Linked DNA regions of Arabidopsis thaliana. Changing the gene in region 1 together with any one later gene gives a genetic interaction. Each region holds a gene or a part of one and is shown in the gene's direction. Other genes may lie near its edges.

Region 1 (5,717 bases):
AAAAGAAATGGTTAAAAAAGCGAATTAACGAATTAAATTCGACATTTATATTTTGCAACCTTCCCTTCGACGCAAACATTTCTCTCTTTTTTCTCTAATCACCAAACCTGCGTCTTCTCTCTCACACTACTAACAACACTTCCTTCTTCTTCTTCCGACTATGGATAAGAAGCACGGCTTGTTCTCCAAGTCTAATTCCCGGCGACCACGATCCAAGAGTCCAGTCAGAAGCGTCTCTCCGATCATCATCCGTCGCCGGAAAGGCCGTTACGTCACACAACCGGACCGGCACATGTCTGAGATGCTTGCTCCGGTTATAGAAGGTCCTGATCCAGACGCTGAAGACTCCGGAAGCAGTGGTGATTACTCTAGGTTCGAGAGACGTTGGTACAATTGGATGAAATGTCAGCTTCCGGTGGCTCCGCCGTCAGTATCGTCCTCTTCGGATTTCAAACGAACGGATCTGAGGCTTCTCCTCGGTGTTCTTGGCGCACCTTTAGGTCCTGTGCACGTTAGCGCTCTGGATCTCCTTCCACACCTCAGTATCAAGAATACACCTATGGTGAGCTCTTAATTCACTGTTGTCTCCTCAAAATTAGGACAGTGTTGGGGATTTGGAGTTAATCATGTTGAATTAAGCTCTTCTGTGCCATAATCTAGCTTGAATTTAGCTGAATCTTCTTTTAGTTGCCTACTAATTACGGAGAAAGACTGCGCAATTAATTGAGATTTATCAAGTTTTATCTCTGCTTTAATGTGTTGAGGGTAAAGTCTAATGACTCTTACTAATACTTGAATTTTCAGGAGACTTCCTCTGCTCAGTACATACTTCAGCAGTATACGGCTGCATCAGGAGGTCAAAAGCTTCATAGTTCTGTGCAAAATGGATATGTTATGGGAAGAATCAGGACGATGGCTTCAGAGTTTGAGACAGGCTCAAAAGGTTCAAAGAGCAAGAATAATTCGTCAAAAGCTGTTGAGTCTGGAGGATTTGTGTTGTGGCATATGAATCCTGATATGTGGTACATGGAGCTTGTTCTTGGTGGGAGCAAGGTTCTTGCAGGTTGTGACGGGAAGCTTGTGTGGAGACACACACCATGGCTTGGACCTCATGCTGCAAAAGGACCGGTTAGACCATTACGACGTGCTCTGCAGGTTAGGCCTCTTGTCCCAAGGAAGCCTTCTCATACACTTTTCTTTGCTTGCATAACTGAATTGTTACTGTTGTCAACTTTCAGGGACTTGACCCGAGGACCACAGCGTATATGTTTGCAAATGCAAGGTGCATAGGAGAAAAAAAGATCGATGGAGAAGACTGTTTCATTCTCAAGCTATGTGCAGACCCGGCAACACTCAAAGCTAGAAGCGAAGGGGCATCAGAGACCATAAGACATACGTTGTTCGGTTACTTCAGCCAAAAAACCGGTCTGCTTGTTCACTTAGAAGACTCCCAGCTAACCCGAATCCAAAACAATGGAGGCGAAGCGGTTTACTGGGAGACGACCATCAACTCATACCTAGAAGACTACAAACCTGTCGAAGGTATCATGATAGCTCACTCTGGTAGATCCGTGGCTACGCTTTTAAGGTTTGGAGATATGTCATCAGGACATAACACTAAGACCACAATGCAAGAAGCATGGGTCATCGATGAAATCTCGTTCAATGTCCCTGGCTTGTCTATAGATTGCTTCATTCCACCTTCAGAACTCAGATTTGATTCCCACGTTGAAGACTTATCTCAAGGCCCCAAAATTAGGACATTGCACGGCCATAAAAATGGTTGATGTGAAGAAGCAGGAGATCAATGTGTATAACTCATTCAAAAACAAACCCTAGACCGGTTATTTTACTTTTGCTATTGTCGAAGCTAAAATTCTTGTAGGAAGTTTCGTTGAAGTTGTAAATAGACAGCAGGAGAAGTTCGTTCTTTTTGCCGCATAATGTTAGGAATGTGTAGTCTTAGTAAGGTCAGTCCAATTTTTAGTTTATAATATTGTTTCATATACTATGATAGAAGCTCCCATCTATTTCACCTAATAGCATATAGTATAAAGAAATATTACTTGGTCATCCATACCAATTGGAACTGATGAATACGATCTTCCTTGTATTGTATATCAATAAATTCATAGTGTGAGTGTAGTTTCTTTTGTAGCACAAACTAGTAAATGTTATTTCTCCTCCTACTGTCTATTTCAAACCGTTGCTCATTAGTTTACTCCAAAAAATGGCCATAAGTACTTATCTGTTTGTCTGTCTCAACCATCCAAATCCTATTTGTGAGTTGGATTTCAATGGGACATGAGCATTTTTGCATATGGATTGATCCATTTGCTCACTAGATCGTTTTATTTTACTGTTGACTGTTGTTGACCTTGAGAAAAAGAATTAGGCCGGTTCACTGTTGACCAAATTCTTTTACATAAAATCATTTTGAAAATAATCCCGGTTCATTAGTTAAACCGGTTCGATTAATTTGGTACGTCTCTAAAACAAATCGTCTTCACCTTTCTTCTCTTGCTTTCAGGGCTTGCGATTTTAAGTGGGGGAGGTAGAGAGAGCAATCTACCAGATTCACCGATTACCAACAACAAACAAGGTATCATCGGGTAATTCAGATTCGCAATTTCTGCTCATTTGAATTTATAGATTCCTAAATTGGTTTCTTTTTTTTTCTTGTGAAGATCACTATGGTGCTCTCTGACTTCACTGGAGTCGGTGTTGGATTTGGTAATGCCCCCATTCGCAATTGTTTTCTCCTTTTAATTTTGATTGGAATCGTAATTTAGTTATTGGAATTCATAGGGTTCGGTGTTGGTTGTGGATTTGGCGTTGGATGGGGTTTTGGAGGTTCGTTCTCAACTTCTCTCTTTTTCTGCTTTTACTTGAACAAAATCTGGACTGAATTACAAGATAATTCTATTGGAACAATTCTCTTGCTAGTTGCTATGGGATGTGCAATGCACTCTGCTGTGCTTGTTTAGTTTTGTGATCATATTGCTTAATGTCTCTTATAGAGATTATCAACTCCTACATATCATCTTTACTCAAATGCTTCTTCTTTCCTAGCTAATGGTTGCTTAAACGCATAGCTAGTATCAGTTGCGCTTACATTTTGATGGATTCATACTATTTTGCAAACCTACTGAATTGGAGATTTCCGTTGCTTTCATGCAGGAATGCCTATGAACATCTTAGGTGTTGGTGCTGGTAAGCATTTCAAACTTCTACTTCAAATATCCCACACTCGCATAGATACACACCGAGCAGGTTTTTCCTAAATTCTAATTACGTAACTTATGCGTCTGGTATTTGACAAAGGTGGCGGTTGCGGGGTGGGTTTGGGCCTCGGGTGGGGTTTCGGGACTGCGTTTGGGAGTCACTATCGTTCATCTAGACTTACATTTCAAGGCATCGAGTTAGAGACTGCCGATAAACGGGAGGAGGTGGTGGCTAACATGTCCAAAAACTCCACTTAAGCAGTCGTGTGCTTCAATACTCTGCTCGGATTGATTGTAAAAGAATTCTGACACCTTTTCTTATTTCTCAATGAAACGGTTACTTCAAATAATCCAATACGAAATGCATTTCTGTATTCTGAATTGTCATTTTTAGAAGGTTCCACTTCAATCTTGGGTTTAGTCCCAAATAATTCTACAATGGTTAATAGGATTGGTGCCTAAGAAAACAATGATTGCTCAATGAAACCCGTTTCAAATAATCGAACCAAAAAAATGCATTTCTATATTACAAACAACCAAAAACAGTTGGAATTTACTGTACAGTAAAAATGTGGATTGCCAAATTCGTCTCTTTCGCTGTTACACAGAAGATGAATGAACTCGAACCTTGCTATTCCAAACCTCTCTTCTACATTGAATGCACTGCAACTACCACTGCAATCAGAAAAAAAAACAATTTATCTCAAAACTCAAAAGTGATGCAGTAAGCTTTGCGTTCTAAACATAAATGATTCAGAGTTCAGTAAATCTTACCAATAAGAAAAACTAAAAGAATAATCCAAATTGCAGCGTGAACCGATTTACTATATCGCATTCGATACTGAGACCGTTGGAGTTGCCTCTGTAGAGCTCCATACCAACCATGAAGCTGCTTTTCATAACAGTCCTCCTCACACTCCATACAACTCTTGCCCCTCTCTGAACATCCATTCATATCTTGCTGAGAAACAAAAAAATAAAAAGCATTTCTTAGCAAAGATTTTCAAAGCAGGAGGCAAAAATCTTGCGGTTGGAGATCGATCGATCAAACTTACTTGGTTAGCTTGGATAGGTAATAAAGCAGCATCAGAGTCTCCTTGACGATCTAAACCCTTCCACTTTCTATTGCAATGCTTGGACACAGGATCCATATAATTCAAGAATCCAGAGAAGCTAGGTACTTTCCTCGGAGGTCGAACCACTGGCTCATCACAAGATTTCTTCACTAAACCATCATCAGAAACCGCAATGTTCCAAGCACTGAATTCAGCAGCACTTGCAGTCCTTCTATGTCCATTAGGATTTGCTTTAGCAGATTCAGATGGACCAGTCAAGAAGAGAGCAAGCTCATTACGATCATCTTCATCCAAACGAACCCATCTCGGTGTTCCTTTCCCATCGGATTGCGCAGCTTCCTTGAGAGATTTCTCGATTTTCGACACTTGAGCTTCCATTACGAAAGTAAACTCACGATGCCTATCTCTAGTTTCATCACTCAAACGATTGTCATAGCTAGATTTGACAGCTTTTTGGAATTCATCTAACTACACCAAAAATATTACAGGTTTCATAAATCAACATTACAGATTAAGAATCTGAGTTCTGAGGAAAGAAAGAAACCTGCCATTTGGTGGTTCCAAGAGCTGCGTGAAGATCTCTATGAAGCTGCTCAGAGTCCCATACTTTTGAAGAGTCTCGTTTCCCATTGAGCCATGTCCTGTACGCTGACTCCATCCTACACATGAATCGAAGATAACAACACACATTGTGAGATTTCAGATCTAAGACTTGATTTGATTAATCAGAAATCGTAATCCCAAATCCGAAGCAACACGAATCGAATCGTCGACATTGCATCACCAACAATGAGAGTTTATGGTATCACAGATTCAAAACGAAAATTGGGAGATGAGGATCCGAAAAACGCAAACCTGTCGGCAGATTCCTGAACTTCTTCAGCAGCGGGAAAGAAAGGATCTTTCTCCCACCGATCCAAACTCGTCGTCATCACTTGAGCAGATGAAAAAAAACAAACTAATTTCCTAATCCTTGGAAGATGAGAAGAAACCCAGAAATGGAGGAAAATGGAGAAGATGGATGGATCGAGAAAGATTTCAGAGAAGAGAGGGAACGTTCGTTCATCGATTAGCCAAATTACGGCCTTTCGTTACACACACGTGCGAAAATTAGTACTATTAATGTTTGGTTTATTCAATGTGGTTCTCAATAAACCGGTCCATAATCTCTAATTCTCTTCATTTTGGTTAACGCTTTATTTATGACAGCATAATTACCAAAAGAACTAGTAATCGAAAGTATGATTAAAGGAAAAAAATATGCCATGATCCTACTTTTGATTACTTATGACTTATCTATCAATTTTATTCATGTTATAATCATTTTATTACAGTTTCATAATTCATTGTTTCCTCTGGAACATATGTGTGATAACCAATATGTTCAAATCAGATCAATGGATTGGTACACGAGTCA
Region 2 (6,277 bases), 2.8 Mb from region 1:
CCCAATTATTATGTCTTTCACCCTCGAGCCTTGTGCTTACCCTTCACTTTCTCTCTCTACCTATTCATCTCTCTTACAGGATAAAACTAGAAGTCAATCATTATCCTTGTTAGCTAGTGTATCTACTCCTGATGGCAAAAACAATTTACTAGTATTGCCAACTAGGAGTACGATTTTTCTTGTTAATTGGCTAATACTGATGGCAAAAACAATTTACTGAGATATTGCTCCTGGCTTAGTATTGCTCAACCAAAACTTTAGATGAATACGAAAGTACACATCTCGATTCTCTATCGCCTTGTCTAAGAGGATGTAAAATATTCTTGAAACGAGAGCGTTTGTATTCAGCAAAAAAACATAGCCAAAATTAGAGTTTCTTGTTGGTAAAAAAAACAAATATGAGTTTAAATTTGGATCAAGTAATGGTTGTCCAAATAGTTGTTGTCATTTTAGTCTAAACTATAAATTACTTTTCGTTGGATACAATTTTTTAAGTGACCACAACGAAATTTTCTTTACCGGCGATATATATAGACTCTAGAAATTAGTTGTCTGATTCAACCAAAAAATTTTCCGAACTAAAAAAATATATATATAAAAAATTTTGAGAATGATTTCAGTTCCGGTGGAGCCATATTGGCTCCCGTATGATGTTAAACGACAATAATTGGATGTAGATTTGTTAAAATTAACATAAGATTGACGCTAAGGTTCCTCATTCCTAACCATCAGTTTGTTAGCTTAAAGAAAAGTGATAATTACGCTCTTTCCGCCTAGAATGGCTTTTTGTCTTGTTGAATATATAAAGGAATGAAGTGACTCAAAGCTTCGTGGTAAAGTTAAGATATAGAAACTTTATTCGTATACACTATGTAAATACACGCAATATCTCAACTACCCTTTAATAGTTGTGTTATCAAATAATAAAATATATAATATGAGAAAATATGTTAAACACCTTCCTTTTCGGTCTTAATTAATGATCAATTTTGTTAAAATCGTTACAAAAGGGATAAGAAACAATCACCAACAGAGACAAAAATAACATTACCAACACATATAATACAACTCTCATTAGTGAACACTCATGTAACCAAAACTGTTAACCATTAGCGTATGATTGAGAACGATCCTCCCTCATAAAATATGTGAAAGTTATCTAAGGGAATGTTAAGATATAGTTTTTGTTTTATTCAAACACCGTTAGTTAAACTTGAAAGCATGCATGCTAATGTTTGGGATTCGATCCTATGCGAGAGATCAATCTTAAGAGAGGTTAAACTTCACATTCAATAATGTACCGGGAATGGAGACTTCAAGAATCATCGGCTTGATAGACCACTAATAAAAAAATGACAAAAACTAGAACATCCAAATATATGTCGTTCGAAAATGTAATTCCGTAGCTAGCTTATACAATTCTATACACAGAAGATATTTCGAATATAGACACATATAAGATGTTGCGGTAATGCAATTTTAAGTGTAGTTGGACATGGATTGGTGAGAAAAGTAAAGTGAAAAAAAGAAATAATTAAGGAAGAGGGGGCTATAGCTCTGAAACCCTAGACGAAAGCAACACTGCATTGCCAATAGTAGAAACAGTGCGATCACGAGATTCAACTCATTCCTACTTTCTTACTTCTTAGTATCCACTCCACTTGTAGTACTAGCTAGCTCCCTGCCACGTGGTCCTCTCCTCTTCTTTTAGCTTTATGGGCCTTGTAAAGCCCGCGGGCCCCATCTGCCCATCCCATGCACATGCATCACATTATGCTTTCTCTCTATCTACGAAATTACGAATATAAGTATACGTATAGAACACTTTTTACAATAACCAAGGGTCAAAGTTTTCTCGAGTCGGAGGATATGAACTAAATAGTACATTGTCTACCAGCGAAGCTTGAACATGAGATCTTGAGACACATTTCCTTTGGAAGGTACTGAATTGAGTGTTCATAGCGGTTCAAGGAACTCGATTAATTTAAAATACCTGAATTACCATTTTTTTGGGGATTCGTTGTGCTTTTTTAATCAATCTACCGGAAATGAAGACAAGTTTTGCTAAAAACGTAACACTTGAATATTGTAAATTTGTAACATAAAACTCTAAAACCTTAACAAATTAATACCTCTAATTAAAATAGAATACTCATAAAAATATAAAATGTAAAAGATACAAATATTGAATATCTTCTAATATAATTCTAAGATGCGAAAGATATAGTAGTCGAATTAAAGCAACCAATTTCAGCGTTTCCTTAAACTTATATTTCCAAAATATCATCTAGGACAGTTTGTTTTTTTTAAGAATCGAGACCCTCTACTAAACTCTTGCATTCAATTTGGTAGAATCACGTTTTGTGTAGGAGAGAAGTAGTGCTTTTGGTTTGTAGTGTAGAGTAGGGTAAACGTGAGTATATAAAACGTAGAGAGGCATATATTATACAGAGAGTGTGCTTTTAAAGAACGGACCGGCTGAAGAAAAAGATAACGTTGTTGTCTCCGTAAAGGTTACCAAGTATCACTGTCACGTGACCACCACCATTCCTCTTTTCACATCTTTCTCCTTTCGATATTGGTTATATTATAGTTAAGTTAGCATTTAGTTAAATTTACTATATATTAGTAAGCAATGAAGGGGATATTAGTACAAATCTGGACATGAAATGTAGGCCTTTATTTGATTGATTGTCTTGGTATAAACATTTCATATAATAGCTTTGTAGATTTATACAACCAATTAAATAATTAACACTTTACATATACAGAATAACATAAAATGTTTAGATCATATATTTTGTCATTTTGGATCAATAGAGAAAAACACTCATTGTTATTTTCTTATTTATACTTTTCTGTATCAGTCTATGTGTAAAGTACAAGTGGACCTGCCGTGAATGGCATAGAGCCCACGCTTTACTTGTAAAAGTATATTGGGCTTTACGGCCCACGGACCAATTTATGTTTTGCCATTGGTTTTTTTTTTGTTTGTTTTGTTGGGAGTTAAACCCACACATCTTCTTCGCAACTGTTAGTTGTGTGTGTTGTTGTTGTTGGCACTGTGCCACTTTCTCTCTCGATGAACCCTCTCAAGCAAGCTTCTTCGATCTTCCGAGCTTAGTTTCGTTTCTAAATGTAAGTTTTCAAGTTTTTGTTTCAGTAAGAAGATTGATAGACCTAATTATTTGTTCCCCTTCTATATAGTAGAGATTTCACCTAGATTGGTCCGTACATATCTTATACTGGGATTCGAATTTGGCTGCCTCAGAGTCAGAGATTGATTAATTGATCAGGTCACCGGAAACTTTTTGTCTCGATTTGGATCTCTTATGCAAAATCTGTTGTGTCCTAATTCTATTTGATTGTAAATCAATTTGATTCTGGGTTTATTACAGATTCAGCTGTTGAAATCGTGCTTATTGCTACAAATTGAGAGGCACTAAATCAGTGAGGTCGTAAAGAAGAAGGCAACCACAATGATGCAGACTTGTTGTATCCATCAATCGTTTTGTTTCCCTCATAGGTATTTTGTGTTGCCATAAGTTTATAAGCTTTCTCATTTGCTTCATTGTCAGAATATGTTATTTTGGATTCTTGAATATTAATTTTGCAGAGTCTTTCCACGGTTTGATGCTTCGATTGGTATTAAGCCCCCAAAGCTTTGTCAAGTTGGTTTCATTGGAAAGACTCAATCTTATGGGATTTCAAGTCCGATACGGCAAAGAAGATTATATGTGAATTTGAATGCTAATGATGGTCACCCATCCATGTCTATGTTGGAAGAAGAAACCTCTACTGAAAACAACGCACCCAGTCAAGAAGCCGAGCTTCCGTTCAGCAAATGGTCACCTTCTAAGTACATATGGAGAGGTTTATCAGTTCCTATTATAGCAGGACAAGTCGTTCTCCGGATTTTAAAGGGTAAGATTCACTGGAGAAACACTCTTCAACAGCTGGAGAGAACCGGACCGAAATCTCTAGGAGTTTGTCTTCTGACTTCTACATTTGTTGGTATGGCTTTCACAATCCAGTTCGTTAGAGAATTCACTAGACTAGGTCTAAACAGATCCATTGGAGGTGTCTTGGCTTTAGCCTTCTCTAGAGAGCTAAGTCCAGTCATCACATCGATTGTTGTTGCTGGACGAATGGGAAGTGCATTTGCAGCTGAACTAGGGACAATGCAAGTCTCAGAGCAAACTGATACACTCCGTGTTTTAGGAGCTGACCCAATTGATTATCTAATCACTCCAAGAGTCATCGCCTCGTGTTTGGCTCTACCGTTTCTGACACTCATGTGTTTCACTGTTGGTATGGCTTCAAGCGCTCTGCTCTCTGATGCAGTTTACGGGATCAGCATTAACATAATCATGGACTCGGCTCACCGAGCACTTAGACCATGGGACATTGTGAGTGCCATGATTAAATCTCAAGTCTTTGGAGCTATAATATCGGTAATTAGTTGTTCTTGGGGAGTAACCACTACTGGAGGTGCTAAAGGTGTTGGAGAATCTACAACTTCTGCTGTCGTCATGTCTCTTGTCGGAATCTTCATCGCGGACTTTGTGCTTTCTTCCTTCTTCTTTCAAGGTGCTGGAGATTCTTTGAAGAACTGTGTTTGACATATTATTTTCTGTCTTCTTTTGTTGTGGTTTAGATGGGTTTATGTAAATCAGTTGTCTTAAATTGAGAAAGTAACATCATTTTAGAAAGAACAGAAAGATTGCTATATTTCTATTCCAATAATGATACACATTGAATAATCTTGAACTATATAGTTCATCGGAAAATTTGCAATCAGTATGGGCGGAGTTAAAATGTTATGCTATGAACTTATGACATAACATCTTATTTGACCAAGCAGATATAACATGGTAAAACCAAACTAGCTTACTTGACCAATAATCCAAAAAAAATAAGCATGAAGTTTTGAAAAAATGTTGAAAACTGGAAAAACTTGGCCAATCTCTTGACTTTTCTCTTCACCTGCCGCTTTGCATACGACTCGACGCTTCCTCAAAATGAACCATCTTTGTCCTACGAGGGTACGAGCCTGTCTCATCGTCTCGAGCCGCCAAACCAGCTTCTATAACCAAAGCTTCAAGATCAGCTCCACTAAAATTCTCACAACGCCTAGCTATAGCATCCAAATCAACACTTGTGTCTAAAGGAATCTTCCTCGCAAGAGATTTCAGAATCAAACCTCGTTGAACAGAGTTTGGAAGAGGTATATAGATATGTTTCCCAAACCTCCCTGGTCTTGTAATCGCAGGATCCATCATCTCCGGTCTATTCGTTGCACCAATCACAAACACTCCATCTCGTTCTTTTCCACCGCTCATTTCATTGAGCAACTGAGTCAATGGTCTTTCAACAACCCAAGCACCTTCTCCTGACCCACGTTTTGTTGTCAATGCATCAACCTCGTCGAAGAAGATTATGCACGGTGAACACATCCTTGCAAGGTTAAATAGCTCCCTAATCGCTTTCTCGCTATCTCCAACGTATTTGCTCAAAGCTCCGGTCCCTCGACACGGATAAAGTTGGTTTCTGCTTTGTTAGCCACGGCTTTGGCAACTAATGTTTTACCACAACCAGGTGGTCCATATAGCAAAAAATCCCTCCCTGAACAGAACTTGAATCCCTCGCACTCTTCTGGATATTTCAACGGTTTGATTATATCGCTATAAAACTCCTTTCTTATATGATCAAGACCGCCAATATCTTCCCATGTTACACTAGGAGTAGTAGAGAATCCTTCTCTTGTTAACGAAGGTTTAAACTTTTTCAATGCTTCCTCAAAATCCGAGATAGTGTAGAAAAGTTTCTCTATCACTTGTGGTGGAAATGGACATGGCTGCATACTCAACAAAGAATCAATATCAGTTCCAAGTTCTGATCCTCTTGATTTCACTAATCTCTCCATTGCCACATTTGCAGCTTCCTTAACCAAAAGTGCTAGATCCGCTCCAACAAATCCTGAAGTCTTACGAACAATCCTTGCAATATCAAAACTTGGGTCAAGAGGACGGTTCCGTAGTATCAAAGTAAGAATCTCTTCTCTTGCCTTCTCATCTGGCATTCCGAGACAAAAATCCTTGTCGAATCGTAGTGACCTTCACAAAGCTGGATCAAGAGCTTCAGGTCTATTGGTAGCTGAAATAACGATAACATGGCCGCTAGTTTCAGAACCAGACTCTCTCATCTTTTGAAGCATATACTCTTGGTCCATACAATTCATCAACTGTGTAACAATACGAGTCTCCATACCCTTTTG

What was found. Genes that interact genetically often act in the same process or in processes that back each other up.
Region 2: changes in AT1G27695 (region 1) and ABCI14 are lethal when combined (synthetic lethality), as found in Arabidopsis thaliana (one study listed by BioGRID).

Annotation. Positions count from the first base shown.
Region 1 is NC_003070.9:9,636,521-9,642,237, forward strand, and holds AT1G27695 (glycine-rich protein), read left to right. Parts: upstream 1-2,503; 5' UTR 2,504-2,602; intron 2,603-2,626; exon of another isoform or gene 2,627-2,687; 5' UTR 2,688-2,693; coding exon 2,694-2,733; intron 2,734-2,808; coding exon 2,809-2,853; intron 2,854-3,180; coding exon 3,181-3,213; intron 3,214-3,324; coding exon 3,325-3,482; 3' UTR 3,483-3,684; downstream 3,685-5,717. Other genes in the region: AT1G27690 (lipase, putative (DUF620)), read left to right, coding at 161-562, 805-1,155, 1,239-1,787; AT1G27700 (Syntaxin/t-SNARE family protein), read right to left, coding at 3,874-3,899, 3,999-4,185, 4,280-4,768, 4,845-4,959, 5,156-5,232.
Region 2 is NC_003070.9:6,843,333-6,849,609, forward strand, and holds ABCI14 (trigalactosyldiacylglycerol 1), read left to right. Parts: upstream 1-3,005; 5' UTR 3,006-3,138; exon of another isoform or gene 3,139-3,210; 5' UTR 3,211-3,296; exon of another isoform or gene 3,297-3,398; 5' UTR 3,399-3,479; coding exon 3,480-3,526; intron 3,527-3,616; coding exon 3,617-4,622; 3' UTR 4,623-4,790; downstream 4,791-6,277. UniProt on the Arabidopsis thaliana protein: Required during embryogenesis. Permease involved in lipid transfer from the endoplasmic reticulum (ER) to plastids, and necessary for thylakoids formation.